Saccharomyces cerevisiae S288C: one gene and its partner. The protein of the gene in region 2 binds, or shares a complex with, the protein of the main gene of each other region. Each region holds a gene or a part of one and is shown on either strand. Other genes may lie near its edges. A codon is read from its position in the direction of its gene.

Region 1 (4,551 bases), on a different chromosome or scaffold from region 2:
ATTCCAATCAGAAAAAGGGTGGACATATCAATAGGTTATGTTTTCTTCAATTAAGTAGTAGTGATCTCAAAAAGAATGTCTGGATACTCTAATTAGTGGCTAATAAAGCGTCAGTGCAAAAGATAAAGAGGGACAACAAAATAATTTAAAAGAAAAACGCAAAATAGTCGGTAACTCGTGCTAAAACCAGTAACGACAGCTAATATCAGGAAGATCCCACTTTATCTCAAATTTGCGCTTTTTAGTCCAATCTCTCACAGTGACTATAGTTTTCAATTTGCAAGTATATTCTCTCTAAGCCAATTTTTCTTCTTTATAATGCCTAAAACAAAAAGAAAAGAGGAAAAATTGTGCCCAGTAAAAAGAAATTCTCGGAGAACAAAAAAAGAAAAGTGCAACTAGAAAAGGACGCAGGACCCTTTTATAATTTTGTACGAGGAGAGCGACCCCTGCAGATTACAAAGATAATAGAGCCTATTGTAGTATTTATGAATATTAGACTAATTCTCATACTTATACTAGATATTGTTGTTAGTTTACATACAAGCCCGTAAGTTCATGAAATTTATTCGACCTTTTCCTTTGTTTCTTCCAAAACTTCTTCAACTATCTCTTCGATGGTGGTAAAGTCATCGCTGGCATCTTCTGGTTGAACGTCAAAGATTTTGAAATTCATAGATTTTTCCATTTCTTGGCCAATTTTTTCTCTATATTCGGTCCATTGCTTCAATAATTCACGTTGGTGTAGAATCAAATCTCTCATGGCGGTGTCAGCTTCCATTGCATCTTGCTCTTCGAATTGGGCAGACCATTCCCTCAAGTTTTTCCTAACCTTTTTCCTTTCGGCGTTAGACAAAATGGAAGCTGGCCTTGGTCTCCAGGCAAAGTTCTTGAAGCCAGCAATGATGTCTTCTTTAACTAAGTTACCAGCAATATTGAAAATTTTGTAACCATGCTCCACCTTGTGTTTCAAAGAACTTGACCATGCGGTAACGTATCTACCAGATGGATCCCAAGTGATATTAGTAGCCGCAGAGTAGGTAGGATGAGCAACATCTTTCAAAGAAGCTGAAACATCATTATTGTCATTAATATTCTTTTCACCTGGATAGTCCATATCGTAAAATTGTAGGTCTGATCTACGCATGTTTGGACCCACTAAAGCACCTACAACCACAAATCTACCCGCTGGAGACCAAGAAACAGTGTTGGCAAAAGTTTTTGGAATTTCTTTGACCAAGCTCCATCTTTTAATTACGTCAGTCTTTTCTTTAGTTTCTGGAGCGTAAAATCTGATTGTATTTGCTGGGATAGCATAATTCATATCAGCTACTTCATGAACAGAAATTGTAACAAATCTATTTCCGTGGGGTTCCCAACCGAATTCAAAGACACTATCTTTCAATTCAACCTTTTCAACTGGTATATCTCTTTCAGTCAACCTACAAATTTGTAGATTACTGAATTGAGTCTTACCAGACTTTGTGTGACGTTCGACATTGAAGCACAGGAACTCAGCTTGGTTTTGCCAGTGCAGAGTTACGTTGGAGACTTGAACTAAGTTAACGGTTTTTAGCACTCTACCGCGAGGAACTTCAGCAATGGTAGCAGTACAAGCGGAATTATTAGTCTCAGGAGTCCAATAAGCCAATAAAACAGAAGGCTCGTCACCGTTTCTGAATGGTTGTAATTTAACACCTTCTGGAGCAAATGAGAAATCTCTAATACCAGAAGGCTTCAAAGCCTTAGCTTCTAATGGCATGAAGTTTTTAGTAGCATCGTGAACTATTAAACTGTCTCCAACCATACGAGCACAATATTTATCATTATAAGACCATCTAACTAAAGGCCATTTCAGATATGGGCTCTTTATCACTGGGAAAGTTGCCATCAACAGACCAGAAGCAATGTCCCAGATGCATAATTGATGACCCTCATTTTTCTTGGTAAATGGAGAGAATTCGTTATCTTCTTCTACAATGATTGGTTCCGTGGAGAAAGTGACCAGGTACTTTTCATTCGGAGAGACGGAAGAGTTTCTTACATCTGGATGATAGAATCTTCTCAAACGATCGAAGTTTGGACCACCCCATGCAGTTACACCCTGTTGATGGTAAGAAAACAAATAGGTACCCTTTGGGGAGAATCTAACATAATTGGTAGACCAGTTCTCTCTAGATTCCACCAAAGAATCTTCTTCATTGAACATAGAGTTCCAGAACACACTAGTCTTCACGTCATCTTGTAATACAAACTGATCTCTCACTTTGTCGTCCATTAACCAGGATTTTAAGGAACTAGATGGAACGAATGTAGGCATATCAGGCTCCCTGAATTCGGTGTCAAAGTCGTCAGAATTATATCTTTCAACATCTTTCATAGTATAAAGAAACAAACGATGTTTTAAATCCAGTCTTTTACCGTGGAAACTCTTGATAATTTTTTTAGCATCGTTCATTGAGCCACATTCCACGAAGAGAAAACCTTTCGTCTTACCAGTGGCTTCATCAATTGGAAATTCCATGTTAACAACTTTACCAGCTTTGGAAAACAAAGAAGTCAAAGCCTTTTTCAAAACAGGAACTTTGGCGGATGGGATGACTGGGGCACCATTAACGACGATGTACTGATCGAAATTGAATTCTTCAGTGACCTTGTATTGTTCTTCCAGGTCGGAAAAATCAATGTCGTCAACAGGGATGTCCTCTAGCTTAATGTCTTCGAAAGTCTCGGTAGTCATTTGAATTATCTTTGACCTTTTGAGCTGTGTGTTGCGAGATACTATACTATGTACTGAGATGTTATTGAAATATAATTCGTAAATATTTTTCAATGTGCGTGGAAGAAAATTTTTCATTAGTTTCCCGCTATCCAAAATATGGAAAGGAGGGTAATAGGTGTCAGAAGAATAAAAGTATTAGGCGATCAAGTAATAATGATAAGATGGTGCACAATGAGAAGTTTATCTAGTTACGTAAAATGTAATGGAAGGTACTAAAATGTATTTTTTGTTTCGCGGCGTTACACGTGAGTTCATATTATTTCAACTCTTTGGTTCTTCTTAACGTATTATCAGAATGTCACCTATTCTAGGTGAATATCACCCTCTTGGTCAGTGGTAGCGTTTGCATTCGTAGCCACTGGAGCATTTTCATCATCACTGGACATGACGTTATCACTGTCATCTTCGTCCTCGTCATCATCGCCGTTAATTTCTTTTTGGGCAAAATCGATAGCTTCCTGTAGCAGATCGCCCTTAACGAACTTGTGCAGACCATTCGTTTCCGACAGTGAACACCAACTTATTTCCAATTCAAAATCCTTTTCCTTGTTATCCTCGTGTGCCAAATAGATAATCTTTGCAGCTTGTTTAACGGCCTCTCTTGCTGAAAGACCTTCTGGATGATGGTCAACTAATTTTTCCAATTCAGCCTTCGCAGATTGCCTACCTTTCCCAGTGGCAGCCCCCTTGTAGCCCCAATAAGAGCCACTTGGTTCCAACATGTAAAGATGAGCACCATTTTTATCTACACCACCAAAGATGGTACTGACCCCGAACGGTCTAACACTGTTGTATAAAGTGTGCGCCTGCACATATTGTCCTAAACGGTCTGCAAATGCAGGAATGGGAATGGGCGTTTTATACAGCTTTTTGAAGCTGGCGGCTTCTTCACGACCACGATTAACCAGGTGCCTACCATCAGGAATCAAACCTGAATAAACGCAACCGATGTGACGGTCTACGACTTGAATCTTGACATTTTTTTGTGGGACCAGCAGTTTAGACGTAATGAGCTTTTCCACTGCAAAGACTACACCGTCGTTACACTTTATACCGATTGATGTGGTACCGTTTTCGACTGCTTTGACGGCATACTCTACTTGGAAATTTCTACCATCGGGGGAAAAAACACTATTGGAAAGATCGTAACCAGTACCAATTGATGTCATTGCTGAAGAGTTATGCTTTTGTTAATTTGATGATGCGACGCTCGAATGTGTTTGAAAGCTTTACAACTGCACTACCAAATAAACCCTCTACCGCCACTATTACCACTTACTTTCTTATTTTTGCCACCGATTTAGAGGGGCGGCGAAATCTTCGTTAAACGTGATTTAGCTATCGGAACCCATTATAAATTGTGAGGAAGCTTACCAACTCATAAGTGGAATAAAGACACAGGCAACACTTTTCAGAAGCAATGTCAGCAATGATTCAGAAAAGTGACCCCATCAGGGTCGAAATCTGAGTGCTCAGATTATCTCTTCAAAGGGTAAATTACGGGTAGGACTACATATACAGAGAACTTCTGGGACCTGGGAAATACTGTTCTTTCTAGTGTGTATACATGGGAATAGCTGCATATTTCCAGACAGTTTAGATGTTACCTTTGTTTAAAGTTAGAGTATTTTTCACACCGATGATTACGAAGTCACACATTCGCATCCTGCGGTATTGTCATTGACAACGCGTAAAAAAACATATACTTAACGGAGGCCGAAGGAGATGAGAAACAATTGAAGAAAAGGAAAGGTAATATTTATTTAAAT
Region 2 (3,553 bases):
AGGACCAGGGCATCTCGAGCATCGTGGAGAAGATCCCTGTCGCTTTCTTTTTTTACCTCAAAACCAAATGCGATCGACGGGATCGCGGCAACTTTTTATCGGTCGGAATGGTTGAGCTAGGGCGTTTTCGTAAGGGGCGGGGTAGAGTTAGAATTGTAGTTTTTTTTCCGTAGTGCCGTGCCCCCATTACCGAATCTCGGCATTGGGTACCAGAGGGTTAGTGCGATAGTTCTTTAGCAAGATGTTAAACCCGCCTATGCCCGGGAACTGCATACAGGGAAGATCTCACCGGAAGATTACCTCGAAGGGGAGGGGTATGTGTTTTTTCCCCTCGTGGTTAAAGTGACTCTCTATTAACGTAATGAAAAGTCTAAATATTATAATGACTTGCACTTCGTATCAAGATATGCGAGAGATCATAATAAACGAAATAATATCCACAGTTTGGGTTTCATATTCTTATATATATATACGTGCGTATATGCATATATGTATGTTTACTATACATCAACATCAGCATCAAAATTAACATTAATTAGCTTCTTGCATGTGCTCTTTAGCTTCGGCGGCCTTCTCCACGTCGTATTTGAAATCAAAGTAAGATTTTTCGAAATGGTGTAGACGTATGAACCCATCTTCACCACCGGAGGCATAACTTGTGCCCTGTGGGCTAATGGCAACTGTGTTCAAGGGACCAAAATGGCCTTGTACTCTGCCGATTTCTTCTTCGAAGATCTTGTGGTAGAACCTAGCTTCAAACTTACCTTCGTTGGCACTGGTGGTGGTGACATCCTTGGCCTCTTGACCACCACCAAGAATAATGAATTCCTTCAATGGGGTGATTACGGCGGTGTTTAGAGGACAGTCTGTTTCGTATTTCTTAAGAACTTGTAGAGTCGATACATCGACCAAGAACGAGTTAGTATCTCTGGATGATGTAATAAAGTATGTTAAATCAGGAGAAAATTGCATGTCACTGATGGACTTTTCGTGCAAATCGATGGAATCCACGTATTCGTAGTTGTTGGACACATCGTATTTGCTGATCTTACCGTCTTTATGGCCTGCAATGATGTATTTGCCCTTAGTCGACCATCCAGCCACGGTGGCAGCGTCTAAACCTTCATGAGTGATAATTTTATGGATTGGCTCTTCGGAGACCTTTGTTAATTCGTGAGTGGCGGAATCTCTTTCAATTTCGTATATGTTAATGGAACCTGGATTTTTCATGACGTTGTCCAAGATAGCTAGAAAGTAGTTACCGCATGGGGAAAATTCAACTCTTTTAACGGGGACAGGCGATTTCCATGTAGCAACACATTGCCCGTTTGACACATCCCATAATTTGATACTGTAATCAGCACTTCCTGTAACACAGTACTTGGTGAAACAGTCGACGTCGATAGACCAAATGGTACCGGTGTGACCATCCAAAGTACCTAATCTTTCACCGTTCAACGAATACCAAACACTGGCCGAGCTATCTTTCGAACATGAAAATAGTAAATCACCTTCTTTGTTGTACTTCACTTGAGTTAATGGACGTTCATGACCTGTTAATTTGATAGCCTTCATATTCCTTGTCTGTGCTATTTCTTTTTGTCTTCTCTCCTGGCCAGTTATCTAACGACCTTAAGATATACCTCGCCTCTTGTTCATCAGTAACTCTTCTGCAAATTTTTCTGTTCAGTTACGACTATTCGAAATTTTTCAGAGGCCGGAAAAAATTTCACAAAAAAAAAAAAATATGCGAAACTGAAGGTGGCACGCGGGGTAACTGATATATTTCATACGAACAGCGGCTATACAGAAACCCCACTATATTTACAAAGAAATATGCTCTGGAATCTACCTACAAGTGCGTGTTAATGAGCTTGAGTCTATAACCATAGTTGTGATGAAAAAGTACTTCTTGCGCGAAAATTCAGAGGATAAGACAACACAACAGAGACCCGCTGAATAAGGTTTCTCATCTCAATCAATTACACCGTAGTGTAGGGTTTTATCAGCTCAAGCGAGTTTTTCAACCCTTCCACAATCTTCTCTTTATTAATAAATATGTTGGAGATATCTCCTGTATGGGTAATATGTATATATGTAAAAAAAAAAAAAGAAAAACAAAAGAACCAAGATCGGGCTACGATGGATAAAAAAAAAAGAAAATCTGACTACTCACAAAACTGGTATTCATCTGTACTTTCAAGACGATTAAAATAAAAAGTGACATCTGAAAAACATCCAATACTCCGATGGCAGCCAGGAATCGTAGAAAGAATAACAAGAAAAAGTCCCTTTTGGTAACGAGTGCCGCTCAAGAAAAGAATGCGACGTATGTGCTCGTTGCAGAGGAATTACATAAAAAAACAATCGATCTAAACATGGGTACTGAAACACCTTTAACGGAAAACCACGAGAATCCTATACCAGCGAAAGAATTCAAGCACCAGCAAAAATTAGAGCCAATAGACGAACATGATGATGGCGAAGACGAATTATCGATAAAATTTAAGTCCATGACAAAAAGCTCGGGGCCTATTACTGAGGCTGAAGTTCAAAAGCTGCTCCTAAGCTATGCCTTCACAAGTGCTGCAATACAGGAGGACGAAAACGAGAAAGAATCGCGTCACTATCCTATTAAACCGCCTTCGCCATCAGCTTCTTCTTTGTCCGCCTATTTTCAATCCTTCGTTGAAAAATGCAAACAGGTTTTCTACAACTTCAGTCTGCAAACAGTAGAAAAATTAAATGCTCTACAAAATAGCTTGTACGAAGTATTTTGGATTATTTTTATTTATTTAAACTACTGGTTCCCCAATGTGGGTGACTATGTGAGGTATGTCTGTCGTAGCTTCTCGCGCCATAACGAAATTGCCCAATTACTAACACGTATTTTTACTTACAATATCAACCACCTCCACTAATGAACAGGCACAGTATAGAAAAAAAATCAGATCTGCATTTAAAAGGCTGTCTTTTCCAATGATCCTCGACCTTAGCGCGGCTAATCAATTCTACTCACTTTTTTGTTCGCTTTTTTTTTTTTGACCCGTTGAACCAAGCGGGTTAATTATTTTTTAAGGATAAAGGCTACCACAATCATGAGAGAGACACCATGTACTTGCAGGATTCTGATATTTTTTCTATGCTTGTTTGCTGACATGCAGATTCGGAGCTGGTTTTGATATTTCATAATCACCTATTTTTGAAGCAATACTTTTGGACAACAAGATAGCATTATTATTAGGATTTCCCTATCAAAGAGTCATTTCCGTGCACTTCGTGAAAAATCCAGTCAGAAAGTTCAGCAAGCAGTCAAGAATATCTACTTTTGTTTCCAAGAAAAGCCTTACCTGACAGCGTTCAAAGTCTCCTTTGCCATTGGACTTGTTATTCCGTGTTCCCTACTTTTTTTGATAATGGTTTCTACCGCTACATTTTTCTTTTTTGTTTACTTAACCCTTTTCGTAGTGATAGGTTTCTTCTCCTCATTATTCATAATACCCTTATTGGGCATTTCCTTTGTGTTTGCCATTGGCGTGGTATCATTTGGCTT

The links.
Region 1: the proteins of TIF34 (region 2) and PRT1 are in contact, whole or in part, in a crystal structure (PDB 3ZWL), measured with the Saccharomyces cerevisiae proteins. Residues at the interface, in NP_013866.1 of Saccharomyces cerevisiae: Lys20 (codon at 1,518), Thr163 (codon at 1,089), Lys164 (codon at 1,086), Lys166 (codon at 1,080), Pro206 (codon at 960), Asp207 (codon at 957), Thr209 (codon at 951), Tyr210 (codon at 948), Leu222 (codon at 912), Asp224 (codon at 906), Ser226 (codon at 900), Gln229 (codon at 891), Leu231 (codon at 885), Lys232 (codon at 882), Pro247 (codon at 837), Leu248 (codon at 834), Glu250 (codon at 828), Lys280 (codon at 738), Ile281 (codon at 735), Phe282 (codon at 732), Glu284 (codon at 726), Pro303 (codon at 669), Gln304 (codon at 666), Tyr331 (codon at 585), Val333 (codon at 579), Glu334 (codon at 576), Ala337 (codon at 567); in NP_015006.3 of Saccharomyces cerevisiae: Ile703 (codon at 751), Gln706 (codon at 742), Arg707 (codon at 739), Leu709 (codon at 733), Leu710 (codon at 730), Trp713 (codon at 721), Tyr716 (codon at 712), Arg717 (codon at 709), Ile720 (codon at 700), Met724 (codon at 688), Met728 (codon at 676), Phe730 (codon at 670), Ile732 (codon at 664), Phe733 (codon at 661), Asp734 (codon at 658), Val735 (codon at 655), Gln736 (codon at 652).

Annotation. Positions count from the first base shown.
Region 1 is NC_001147.6:1,014,796-1,019,346, forward strand, and holds PRT1 (translation initiation factor eIF3 core subunit b), read right to left. Parts: upstream 2,858-4,551; coding exon 566-2,857; downstream 1-565. Other genes in the region: 3',5'-cyclic-nucleotide phosphodiesterase PDE2, read right to left, coding at 1-26; PRE10 (proteasome core particle subunit alpha 7), read right to left, coding at 3,085-3,951. UniProt on the Saccharomyces cerevisiae protein: RNA-binding component of the eukaryotic translation initiation factor 3 (eIF-3) complex, which is involved in protein synthesis of a specialized repertoire of mRNAs and, together with other initiation factors, stimulates binding of mRNA and methionyl-tRNAi to the 40S ribosome.
Region 2 is NC_001145.3:556,950-560,502, forward strand, and holds TIF34 (translation initiation factor eIF3 subunit i), read right to left. Parts: upstream 1,576-3,553; coding exon 532-1,575; downstream 1-531. Other genes in the region: LDO45 (Ldo45p), read left to right, coding at 2,250-2,831, 3,207-3,553; LDO16 (Ldo16p), read left to right, coding at 3,417-3,553. UniProt on the Saccharomyces cerevisiae protein: Component of the eukaryotic translation initiation factor 3 (eIF-3) complex, which is involved in protein synthesis of a specialized repertoire of mRNAs and, together with other initiation factors, stimulates binding of mRNA and methionyl-tRNAi to the 40S ribosome.